Linked DNA regions of Nothobranchius furzeri. The protein of the gene in region 3 interacts with the protein of the main gene of each other region in a biochemical or structural test. Links are inferred from orthologs where the notes say so. Each region holds a gene or a part of one and is shown on either strand. Other genes may lie near its edges.

Region 1 (2,347 bases), on a different chromosome or scaffold from region 3:
CAGACTGAAATATTAAACTGGGACTTGTTTTTCCCCCCTTTTCTTTTTTTATTCTCACTTCTTTTTTCCTTTTCTCTCTTTTTTAAAAAAATTCTTTTTGTTTCCTTTTTTGTTACTCTTTTTTTTTTTCCTTTTCTCTTTTACTTCCTGGTGCTTGTTAAGTTACCGTTTCCCAAAAGTAGGACTTGGGACCCCTCTGTGGGTTGCCAAACCTTAAGTTATGTCATCAATAATTATTCTTGAATATTTGTTGGCAACCTTCATTTCGCCACTCCAGAGCCAACTGTAGCAGAATTAGTTAATTAAGATAAAAATTTGAAGATGTGATTTTTCATGTTTTCATGCCTTTATCAAACTAATTTCACCAACTAATTCTTGTTTTGGTAAATTTTTCTAAACATTTGAGTTCACATTTGTTTTGTGCGATTTAGAGAAACTCCCGTTACCGCTCCTCGCTGCGCAGCCGCTCCTCCAGCTCCTGAATCTTGTTTTCCAGCAGCGTGATTGCAGCCGACGGTCGAGTCTGTCCCTCCATGTCGGCGACGCGGGACTTTAACTCTTTCACCTGTGAGACGAAGCGCGGCGCGGACATTATTAAACGACCTTACCGGAATCTCGTTTCCCTGTTGCTGGGACGACGTACCTGTCGCTCCAGAGCGCTCTTGTCCATCTCCAGGTCGTGTCTGACCGAGCGCTCCTGCATCAGCTCAGATCGCAGCTGATCCACCTGCAAAAGAAAGAAAAAGGAACGTTTTCAGTAAGTCTTTCAGATCTGCGTGCCTCCATATGATTTGCATTCGTATTCAAATATCCTGATGCTGCACCTGATCTCTGGTTCGGCTTATGCGATCATTCAGTAGCTCCACGCTGCTCCTCTCCTCGTCCACCTCCAACTCCAGAGTTTTAACTTTATCCTGCAAACACAAACAGAATTTTTATCAACTAGAAACTGTTCCAGCCATCTCCCTAGTCGTGACCTTTGACCCGAGAAGCCTCACCTCCAGGGATCTGATCTCGCGGCTGCGGTCGGTGTGTGAGCTCTTTTCTGACTCCAGCTCGCCCTCTAGGTGCTTCAGACGGTTGTTGAGGAGGTCTCTTTCCAGCTGAGCGCTGTCTCTCTCCTCACTGCACGTCAGCAGCTCCTTCTTCAGACGGGAAACCTAAAAATTAGTATAAAAATGAAGATATCTCATCTTTCCAAACAAACTTGTCAGATCTGAAATGCTTGGAGGTTGATGAGAAAGATGATGCAACGTGGTGGCAAGCTGCGTTTATTTTTTATTTATATTTTCTTCTAAGACTAGTAAAGCTCCTCTAAACATGCACTTTGTCGTCGTCTTCCTCCGCTTATCCGGGTCTGGGTCGCGGGGGCAGCATCCCAACTAGGGAGCTCCAGGCCATCCTCACCCCAGCCACCTCCACCTGCTACTCTGGCAGGACCCCAAGGCGTTCCCGGACCAGATTGGAGATGTAACCTCTCCAACGTGTCCTGGGTCGACCCGGGGGCCTCCTGCTGGCAGGACATGCCTGAAACACCTCCCCAGGGAGGCGTCCAGGAGGCAACCTGACCAGATGCCCAAACCACCTCAACTGACTCCTTTCGATCCGGAGGAGCAGCGGTTCTACTCCGAGTCCCTCCCGAATGTCTGAGCTCCTCACCCTATCTCTAAGGCTGAGCCCAGCCACCCTACAGAGGAAACTCATTTCGGCCGCTTGTATCCGCGATCTCGTTCTTTCGGTCATTACCCAAAGCTCATGACCATAGGTGAGGATTGGGACGTAGATCGACCGGTAAATCGAGAGCCTGGCTTTCTGGCTCAGCTCCCTCTTCACCACGACAGATCGGCTCAGCGTCCGCATCACTGCAGACGCCGAACCAATCCGCCTGTCGATCTCCCGATCCCTCCTACCCTCACTCGTGAACAAGACCCCGAGATACTTAAACTCCTCCACTTGAGGTAGGACCTCTCCCCCGACCCGGAGTTGGCAAGCCACCCTTTTCCGGTCGAGGACCATGGTCTCAGATTTGGAGGTGCTGATTCTCATCCCAGCCGCTTCACACTCAGCCGCGAACCTACCCAGCAAGAGCTGAAGGTCAGAGCTGGATGAAACTTTGCGATATTTTAATCCCACCTCCTCCTGCTGGGCCTTCAGGTTATTCTGAGCCCTCTGCAGCTCAGCCAGCCTGTCCTTGTTGTTCCTCTGCGCCTCCAGCAGGTCCTTCCTCGATCGCTCCCTGAAGTCCTCCAGCTGGGTCTGCAGGGTGGCCACCGACTGACGCGAGTCTCCCATCATCACCTCCATCTGAAGAAGAGAGGAGTGAAAGCGCTTCTACATGTGTATACGC
Region 2 (4,204 bases), on a different chromosome or scaffold from region 3:
GTGACTCTTAATTAAAAGGGCAGCATGTTCTTTTCATGGATTCCTACATAAATAAGTTAACAGAAGTCGTGGGTTGGACCGCTGACTGCCTCCATACCAGCCTCTCACCTACAGCATCGCTCGCTCATCCTCCAAGGCCACAATGTCACCAGCGCTGAGGGAAATGTGCAGGATGGTGCATGCTGACATGTATTAACGGGGAGAAAATAGTTTTTATTGTTAAATTTAAAACATAACCTGCTGTAGTGTCACTTTACAGCGGAACTACTGCGTATTTAATGATGTCTCAGTGACCGGTCACTATGTGGTCAAAGTGGACCCTTTCTGAATGTTACACGGCAGAACAACAGTTATTTTCTGTTAAAAGAAAGCAGGGTATAATAAAAACTACAGATGGTTCACAGATTTAGGAAAGATCTAATGCCACTGTCAACTTAAGTCTGTTTTTAAAGCTTTTACACCCACTTTAAAACAGATTAAGGAGTTGTAAAAACCACATGAGAGCAGGTCCTGCTGTAGTTAAAATGTATATAGTTCATAATTATCCACATTTTAATACTCTAGTGGCCTTTACCCACCAACCATCCTGAAACTAACGTCAACATGGAAGTCCTGAAGGCTTGTAGACTAAACTAGATGACTTCACCCAGGTTGTTCACCAGCCTGAGGAACAAACCTGGTGAAGGTAAAGCTGCTGGGAGGGGGGGCTGCTCTATTATCGCTAGCTTTAGCTGTTAGCTGCCGCCACGGTTGCTAGGTAACGGGACCTACAGGCTGCAGTGGAGGGGGAGGCCAGACCGTCCGACCGCCGGTCTTATCGGTCGAGCAAGGACACGTACTCTCGGGCATTCAGGCTCTGGAGTCGGACACACCCAGTTCCAACAGAAATGTTCCAAACAAGGTTCCCAACAGGCTTCCGGGCCTGCTGCAGCCTGTCGCCGCCCCGCTCCGCTGCCAGGAAGTTGGGAAACTCGGTCACCGCCCTGCCCCCACCCCTCCTCCACTCCACTTTAGCCATTGTTGGGCGAGAGTCTGCCTCACCGAAACGGTTCACACCGAAACTATTCCCTCGGTACCGCTCAGAAGACTTTACACAGGCGCTTATTGTTTTGAAGCGTGGAGGTTGTTTTTTCCCCCCGAAAAGAAGCAAAGCCAGCCAAAAGTCGAGAGCTACGTCACACGGAGCCCGAGAAGAGAGGAAAACTTTTCAGGAGAGGATTCCGGACGTTCTCCATTTTGAACTTTTGCACTCCGGTTCGTCTTCAGCGGATTGTGTAAAAACCACACGATGACGAGCGTCAACACTCCCAACATCAACTTTAAATGGGACCCCAAGAGTCTGGAGATCCGGACTCTGGCAGTGGAGAAGCTCCTTCAGCCGCTTGTCGCCCAGGTCACCACTCTGGTCAACTCCAGCAACAAAGGTCCATCTAACAAGAAGAAGGGACGCTCCAAGAAGGCTCATGTTTTGGCTGCTTCAGTGGAGAAGGCCACCCAGAACTTCCTAGAAAAAGGAGAAAAGATTGCAGAAGAAAGTCAGTTCCTCAAGGAAGAGCTGACCGAGGCTGTGGAGGATGTCCGTAACCAAGGTAATTCCATGCGCCAGGCTTCTGGAGAGTTTGTTGAAGACCCCTGCTCCTCTGTGAAGAGGGGCACCATGGTCCGTGCCGCCAGGGCCCTCCTCTCAGCGGTTACACATCTGCTGGTCCTGGCAGACATGTCTGATGTCTACAAACTCCTGGTGCAGCTTAAGCTGGTTGAAGATGGCATGGCTAAAGTGTGCGGCGCTGGAACAGAGCAGGATTTGGGGATCCAGTATAAGGCTTTGATCCCAGAGGTGGACAAGCTGAACCACATGGCTGCTAAGAGGCAGCAGGAGCTAAAGGACGTCCAGCACAAGGACCAAATGGCTGCTGCACGTGGATTGCTCCAAAGGAACGTCCCCTTGCTCTACAAAGCGACCTGTGCCTGCCTGCAGCATCCTGATGTGGCGGCCTACAAGGCTAACCGTGACCTGATCTACAAGCAGCTCCAGCATGCGGTCTCAGGAATCTCCAACGCTGCCCAGGCCACGAGCACCGAAGACTCGGCGCTGAGCCAGCCGGGAGGGGCCGGAGAGCTGGCTTATGCCCTCAACAATTTTGATAAACAAATCATTGTGGACCCCTTGGCATTCAGCGAGGAGCGCTTTCGTCCTTCTCTCGAGGAGCGCCTGGAGAGCATCATCAGCGGAGCTGCACTCATGGCTGACTCTTCCTGCACACGCGATGACCGCAGGGAGCGCATTGTTGCTGAATGCAACTCAGTGCGCCAGGCTCTGCAGGACCTCCTGTCAGAGTACATGGGGAATGCGGGGAGGAAGGAGAGGAGCGACGCTCTGAACACAGCCATCGACAGGATGACGAAGAAGACCAGAGACCTCCGCAGGCAGCTCCGTAAAGCTGTCATGGACCACGTCTCGGACTCGTTCCTGGAGACAAACGTCCCCCTCCTGGTCCTGATCGAAGCCGCGAAGAATGGCAACGAAAAGGAAGTAAAGGAATACGCTCAAGTCTTTCGCGAACACGCCAACAAGCTGATCGAGGTAGCCAACCTGGCGTGCTCCATTTCCAATAATGAAGAGGGGGTTAAACTGGTGCGCATGGCAGCATCCCAGCTGGAAACCCTGTGCCCCCAGGTGATCAACGCAGCGCTGGCCCTTGCTGCCAAGCCCCACAGTAAGGTGGCCCAGGACAACATGGACGCATTCAAAGATCAGTGGGAGAAGCAGGTCCGTGTCCTCACTGATGCTGTTGATGACATAACATCAATCGATGACTTCCTTTGTGTGTCTGAGAACCACATCCTAGAGGACGTGAATAAGTGTGTCATCGCGCTTCAAGAGAAGGATGTTGACGGTCTGGATCGCACCGCCGGCGCTATTCGAGGCCGGGCCGCCAGAGTCGTTCATGTTGTCACTTCTGAGATGGACAACTATGAACCGGGGGTCTACACGGAGAAGGTTCTGGAGGCCACCAAGCTCCTGACCAACACGGTCATGCCACGGTTCACCGAACAAATCGAGTCTGCGGTTGAGGCCCTAAGCACAAACCCCTCTCAGCCTGTGGACGAGAACGAGTTCATCGATGCGTCTCGTCTGGTGTACGACGGCATTCGGGACATACGCAAGGCTATCCTCATGATCAGAACTCCAGAAGAACTGGACGATTCAGACTTTGAGACCGAAGACTTTGACACACGCAGCAAAACCAGCGTGCAGACCGAGGACGACCAGCGCATTGAGGGCCAAAGCGCACGCGCCATCATGGCTCAGCTGCCGCAGGAGCAGAAAGCAAAGATCGCTGAACAGGTGGCTAGCTTCCAGGAGGAGAAGAGCAAGCTGGACGCAGAGGTGTCCAAGTGGGATGACAGCGGCAATGACATCATCGTGTTAGCCAAGCAGATGTGCATGATCATGATGGAGATGACGGACTTCACCAGGGGAAAGGGGCCACTGAAGAACACGTCTGATGTCATCAGTGCTGCCAAAAAAATAGCCGAGACCGGATCAAGAATGGACAAACTGGGCCGCACCATTGCCGACAATTGTCCCGACTCATCCTGCAAGCAGGACCTGCTGGCCTACCTGCAGCGTATCTCCTTGTATTGCCATCAGCTCAACATCTGCAGCAAAGTCAAAGCGGAGGTCCAGAACCTGGGAGGAGAACTGGTCGTCTCTGGGCTGGACAGCGCCATGTCTCTGATTCAGGCTGCAAAGAACCTGATGAACGCCGTGGTGTCCACAGTGAAGGCATCTTACGTGGCTTCCACCAAATACCAGAAGACCAAGGCCATGGAGTCCCTCAACATGCCGGCCATCTCCTGGAAGATGAAAGCTCCCGAGAAGAAGCCTCTGGTTAAGAGAGAGAAGCAGGACGACGGGCAGACCAACAAGGTCAAGAGGTCTTCTCAGAAGAAGCACGTGAACCCTGTGCAGGCTCTGAGCGAGTTCAAAGCCATGGAGAGCATCTAGCTGGAGGAGAACGCACGTTCTTAATCCAGGAGTTTAGGATTGAGGGAGCTTTATTGGTTGGACCAGTTCTTCAGATTAGCTTTAATCTTAGCATCGACCTCGGTAGAAACGGCAGCCAGAGGGGCGAGCAGCCGAACCTTTCCGTAACGTAGACGAGAGGAAAGAGCAGATTTAACAGATTAGTAATTCCAG
Region 3 (3,655 bases):
TAGTTTCAAGAAAAACTATTTACTTTTGAGGAATTTTATATTACCCAAAAAATGTTTAAGACAAAAAAAAAGCAGAAAAAAATCAATTAGAGGACAAATACAAGCAACATGAAAATAAAAATGAACTTCTTAGGAATCTAATTAAAATGCGTATTTTATCAGTTTGGAGGAATGTAAGCGTCTTAAAGTTATCTCCATCTGATTTAATACACTCTGGTATGGTCTTCCCTCAAACTAGCCGTTAGCTCGTTAGTCCTGATGGATGTGAACCATTTCTCTGAGCAGAGGCCCTTCAGAAAGCCTTCTACAATGGGTAAAATAAGAATTTACAAATTTTAAACAGAAACACACTTAAGTGTAAGAACATCCCTTTATTATAGATCATTGAAACTGCCATAGTAGATTTCTTGTAGGAGCAGCTCAACTCCCACATGAGAAATCCTCTCCGAGTCTCCCAACTGAGATTGTTCTGACTTCTGTTCCTTTACCAACATCTTTAAGTGAAGTCCGTTGGATGGATCGTACCCGGAGACAACTGAACTGAAACCCTGACCCATGTTCTCACAGAACCAAATGATTCTCCATTCCTTCCCTCTCATCAATAATAAACATCAGAGAAGTGTCCTACCATAGTGATGGCTGAGAAACTTCTTGAAGAGAGGCGGTGAAGATACAAGTAATGGGTCTCTCTGGACCAGCAGAACTTACGGCCAGACTTCAGTAGGTCAGTACTGGTCGGGTCGGAGCAACCCTGGTCCCTGTGGATGGAAGGAAAACACATTAATTTTTTACACAGATCTGGGACAAAAAAGTGACAGGTCATCAGCCCAAAAGGTGAAACCGAGCAGAAAACCCTGTTCTTCAGTGGGAGTTTCAGCTTCTCTAGGCTGACCGGTGTAGTTTATGATATCGTGTACTGCAAGGCTGCAAAACTGACCAAATGTTGCTAACAATCACATAAACAATGTAATCTAGGACTAGGCGATAACTCAAAAATGTATCCATCGGTCATTTCTAACCAAAACCATTTTTCCCCATGTCAATTAATTCGATAGTAAAAAAAATAAATAAAAATAAATAAATAAAAGAATAGATGCGTGTAAGTTGGTGAAGTTCATGTCCCTTTAACTAGCTGGACCATCTCCAGTCACATGACAACGTAACTCTACGTAATACCCGTGACGGCCCCATCTAGTGCTTTTGTGCATGTAGTTATTGTTTATTTACGTTAGAGTTTAACTCGATATGTCGTGATATTTATTTTAGGCCACATCGCCCAGACTTAATTTAATCCACTTGATGTTCATTTGTTCATGTGTTTCTCTCACCAAATAGAATATTTACTAAGAAATACACACACTTTGTGTGTGTGTGTGTGTGTGTGTGTGTGGTGTGTGTGTTTGTGTGTGTGTGTGTGTGCGTTCTTGTACATACTACATTCTGAGAACCATTTTGAACACTCTCCCTACAATGTGAGGACATTTTTTGGGTCCTCATTTTTTTTAGAAGCTTACTATATCAGTTAGAGGTCTGGTGTGAATGGGTTAGGAACAGATCAGCATTGGTTATGGTATGGGTTAGGCATGGTGAAATCACAAAAAAAAGAATCAAAGTCAATGGGGGGATTACGATAGAAAGACAGATGCGTGCGTGCGTGCGTGCGTGTGTGTGTGTGTGTGCGTGCATGCGCGTGTGTATGCGTGTGTATGTCTGCATGTGTGTGTGTGTATTCTTCCCAGTGAGTGGTGGAGGATGGCTGCTTATACTGAGCCAGGATCCTCTGGAGGTTTCTTCCTGTTAAAAGGGAGTTTTCCTCTCCACTGTCGCTGCATGCTTGCTTAGTATGAGGATTGCTGTATAGTCACTGACACTAGTCAGTGACTTGATGCAACCTGCTGGGTTCCTTACATAGGAAACTTTTTACTGATTGGCTTAATGACCTGACCTGTGTTGGAATGTTTACTGTGTGAAGGTCCTTGAGACGACTCTTGTTGTGATTTGGCGCTTTATAAATAAACTTGAATTGATTTGAATTGTAAGGATGAAAAACTCAAAGTGAACACGAATCTTAATGTGGCAAGGTGGAGAAACGAGGGCCCAGGCGGGATTCGATCCCCAGACTCCCGGGTGAGAGTCATGCATGCTAACCAGTCAGCCAAAGGGACATCCCCTTGGCAAGTAGCCAGGGCGCAGGATCAGTCGGGATACTGTGACAGGACGCTCACACGGTCACATTAATAAGCAATCTATTGTATTTGATGCTTTTATTTTGATAAGGTACACAACACACATGTTTTTGACTGAAGAGGAAACACAAATCCTTCTTTCACCCATAACTCACATCCTGGTCGTATTGCGAGTCATGTAGGTCCATCCTTTTCTCAAAACGCAACTAAACATTATAACCAACAGATTATCGCTTCCAGCACCAATTTCTCCACATTACTCCCTCAAAAGTTAATCCCACCAAGTGTGCTGTGATCTTCACATTTTAAACTTTTAAGAGGAGGTGATGAATGTTTAAAGGGAACATCTCTGCTGGCGTGTTGTTAAACCCAACAGAAAGTCTGCACACTCACATGGGATTCACCAGGCAGAAAGGTCCATTTTTAGATGCTCTAAAAAGGCTTGAACCTTCTAGACCAGAGACATGATTTTTACACTCAAAATCACATTTATTTCACATCTGAGACATGTTTCTCCCTCATGCTCGACTGCAAAGAGCCCAGACCCGCACAAAGACACTACAGATCATAATCTGCAGCCTCCCTGACCCGATCACTTGCAGCATGTGCAGACATGAGTAAAACACATTCTCAGCCAAACTGGCAGCTTTAATGTCGCCCTCCTCCTGGTGTCTTTGGTAACCAGCCTGAACTGTGATGAAGAAAATGCTACGGAAATTTAAAATAAGACAGGAGATGATTACTTAATCCCAGCTAGAGTCGTTTCTGCGTTAAAGAAGAAACGTTTTCTTGGGTAAAAAATGCAACGTTGATGTTTAACTCCCTGAATAACGCGAGCCCCGATGCTTCCTGTGATGATTAGCTTCTAGCCCCAGCAGCCAGCTGAGGATGAAACCTGTGAGTGTGACCTTCCTTCCAACACGATGTAGACAGACTGTTTTGTGATTAATTCACTATTGAATTCTTACTTATTGCTCCTTTAAGTTTTCACATGCAACAGAAAGATCTTTAAAGAGCAAGTCACCCTCAAATCAACTTTTTTTCCTGATAAACTATATAAATGCGTGTCTAGTCGTGATGCAGACACGTGTAGTCAATAGTTTTGCACTTTAGTGCATTTTAGTTAAAATTTAAATGTTCTGCCTAAAACTGGCAGTGTTGTGCCATTGTCAGGTAAAAACTCTGCACTAAACTTGAATTTAAATTTGCCATCGCTATTGGCTAAGAGGTACCCTAGAACGTTAGCTGGTACCATATGATGTCACAATGTCAATGTGAGCCTGTGTGTGTGTATTTGTTAGCAGCTCCGCCCTCTCGGTCTGCTAGGCAACAGCATTTGTTGCATTTTTCAAACAGGAAGTGGGAGTGGAGTAATACTCTGGTAGGGGGTGACTTAGTCTTTAAAGCCACATTTATCTTACAAGTAAGGATTGAACTGGTAAGAAAATTTGGGCCAATATTGATCAATA

The links.
Region 1: the proteins of tjp2a (region 3) and cgnb form a complex in vitro, tested with the Homo sapiens proteins (2 studies listed by BioGRID and IntAct, with this or other methods). The link is inferred for Nothobranchius furzeri from reciprocal best matches to the Homo sapiens genes TJP2 and CGN.
Region 2: the proteins of tjp2a (region 3) and ctnna1 form a complex in vitro, tested with the Homo sapiens proteins (2 studies listed by BioGRID and IntAct, with this or other methods). The link is inferred for Nothobranchius furzeri from reciprocal best matches to the Homo sapiens genes TJP2 and CTNNA1.

The regions. Positions count from the first base shown.
Region 1 is NC_091759.1:4,162,549-4,164,895, reverse strand, and holds part of cgnb (cingulin), read right to left. Parts: intron 2,305-2,347; coding exon 2,134-2,304; intron 1,161-2,133; coding exon 999-1,160; intron 915-998; coding exon 825-914; intron 728-824; coding exon 644-727; intron 566-643; coding exon 447-565; intron 1-446. UniProt on the Homo sapiens protein: Probably plays a role in the formation and regulation of the tight junction (TJ) paracellular permeability barrier.
Region 2 is NC_091748.1:78,693,615-78,697,818, reverse strand, and holds the start of ctnna1 (catenin alpha-1), read left to right. Parts: upstream 1-1,288; coding exon 1,289-4,012; 3' UTR 4,013-4,204. UniProt on the Homo sapiens protein: Associates with the cytoplasmic domain of a variety of cadherins. The association of catenins to cadherins produces a complex which is linked to the actin filament network, and which seems to be of primary importance for cadherins cell-adhesion properties.
Region 3 is NC_091746.1:73,933,071-73,936,725, forward strand, and holds part of tjp2a (tight junction protein ZO-2a), read right to left. Parts: intron 759-3,655; coding exon 629-758; intron 1-628. UniProt on the Homo sapiens protein: Plays a role in tight junctions and adherens junctions. Acts as a positive regulator of RANKL-induced osteoclast differentiation, potentially via mediating downstream transcriptional activity.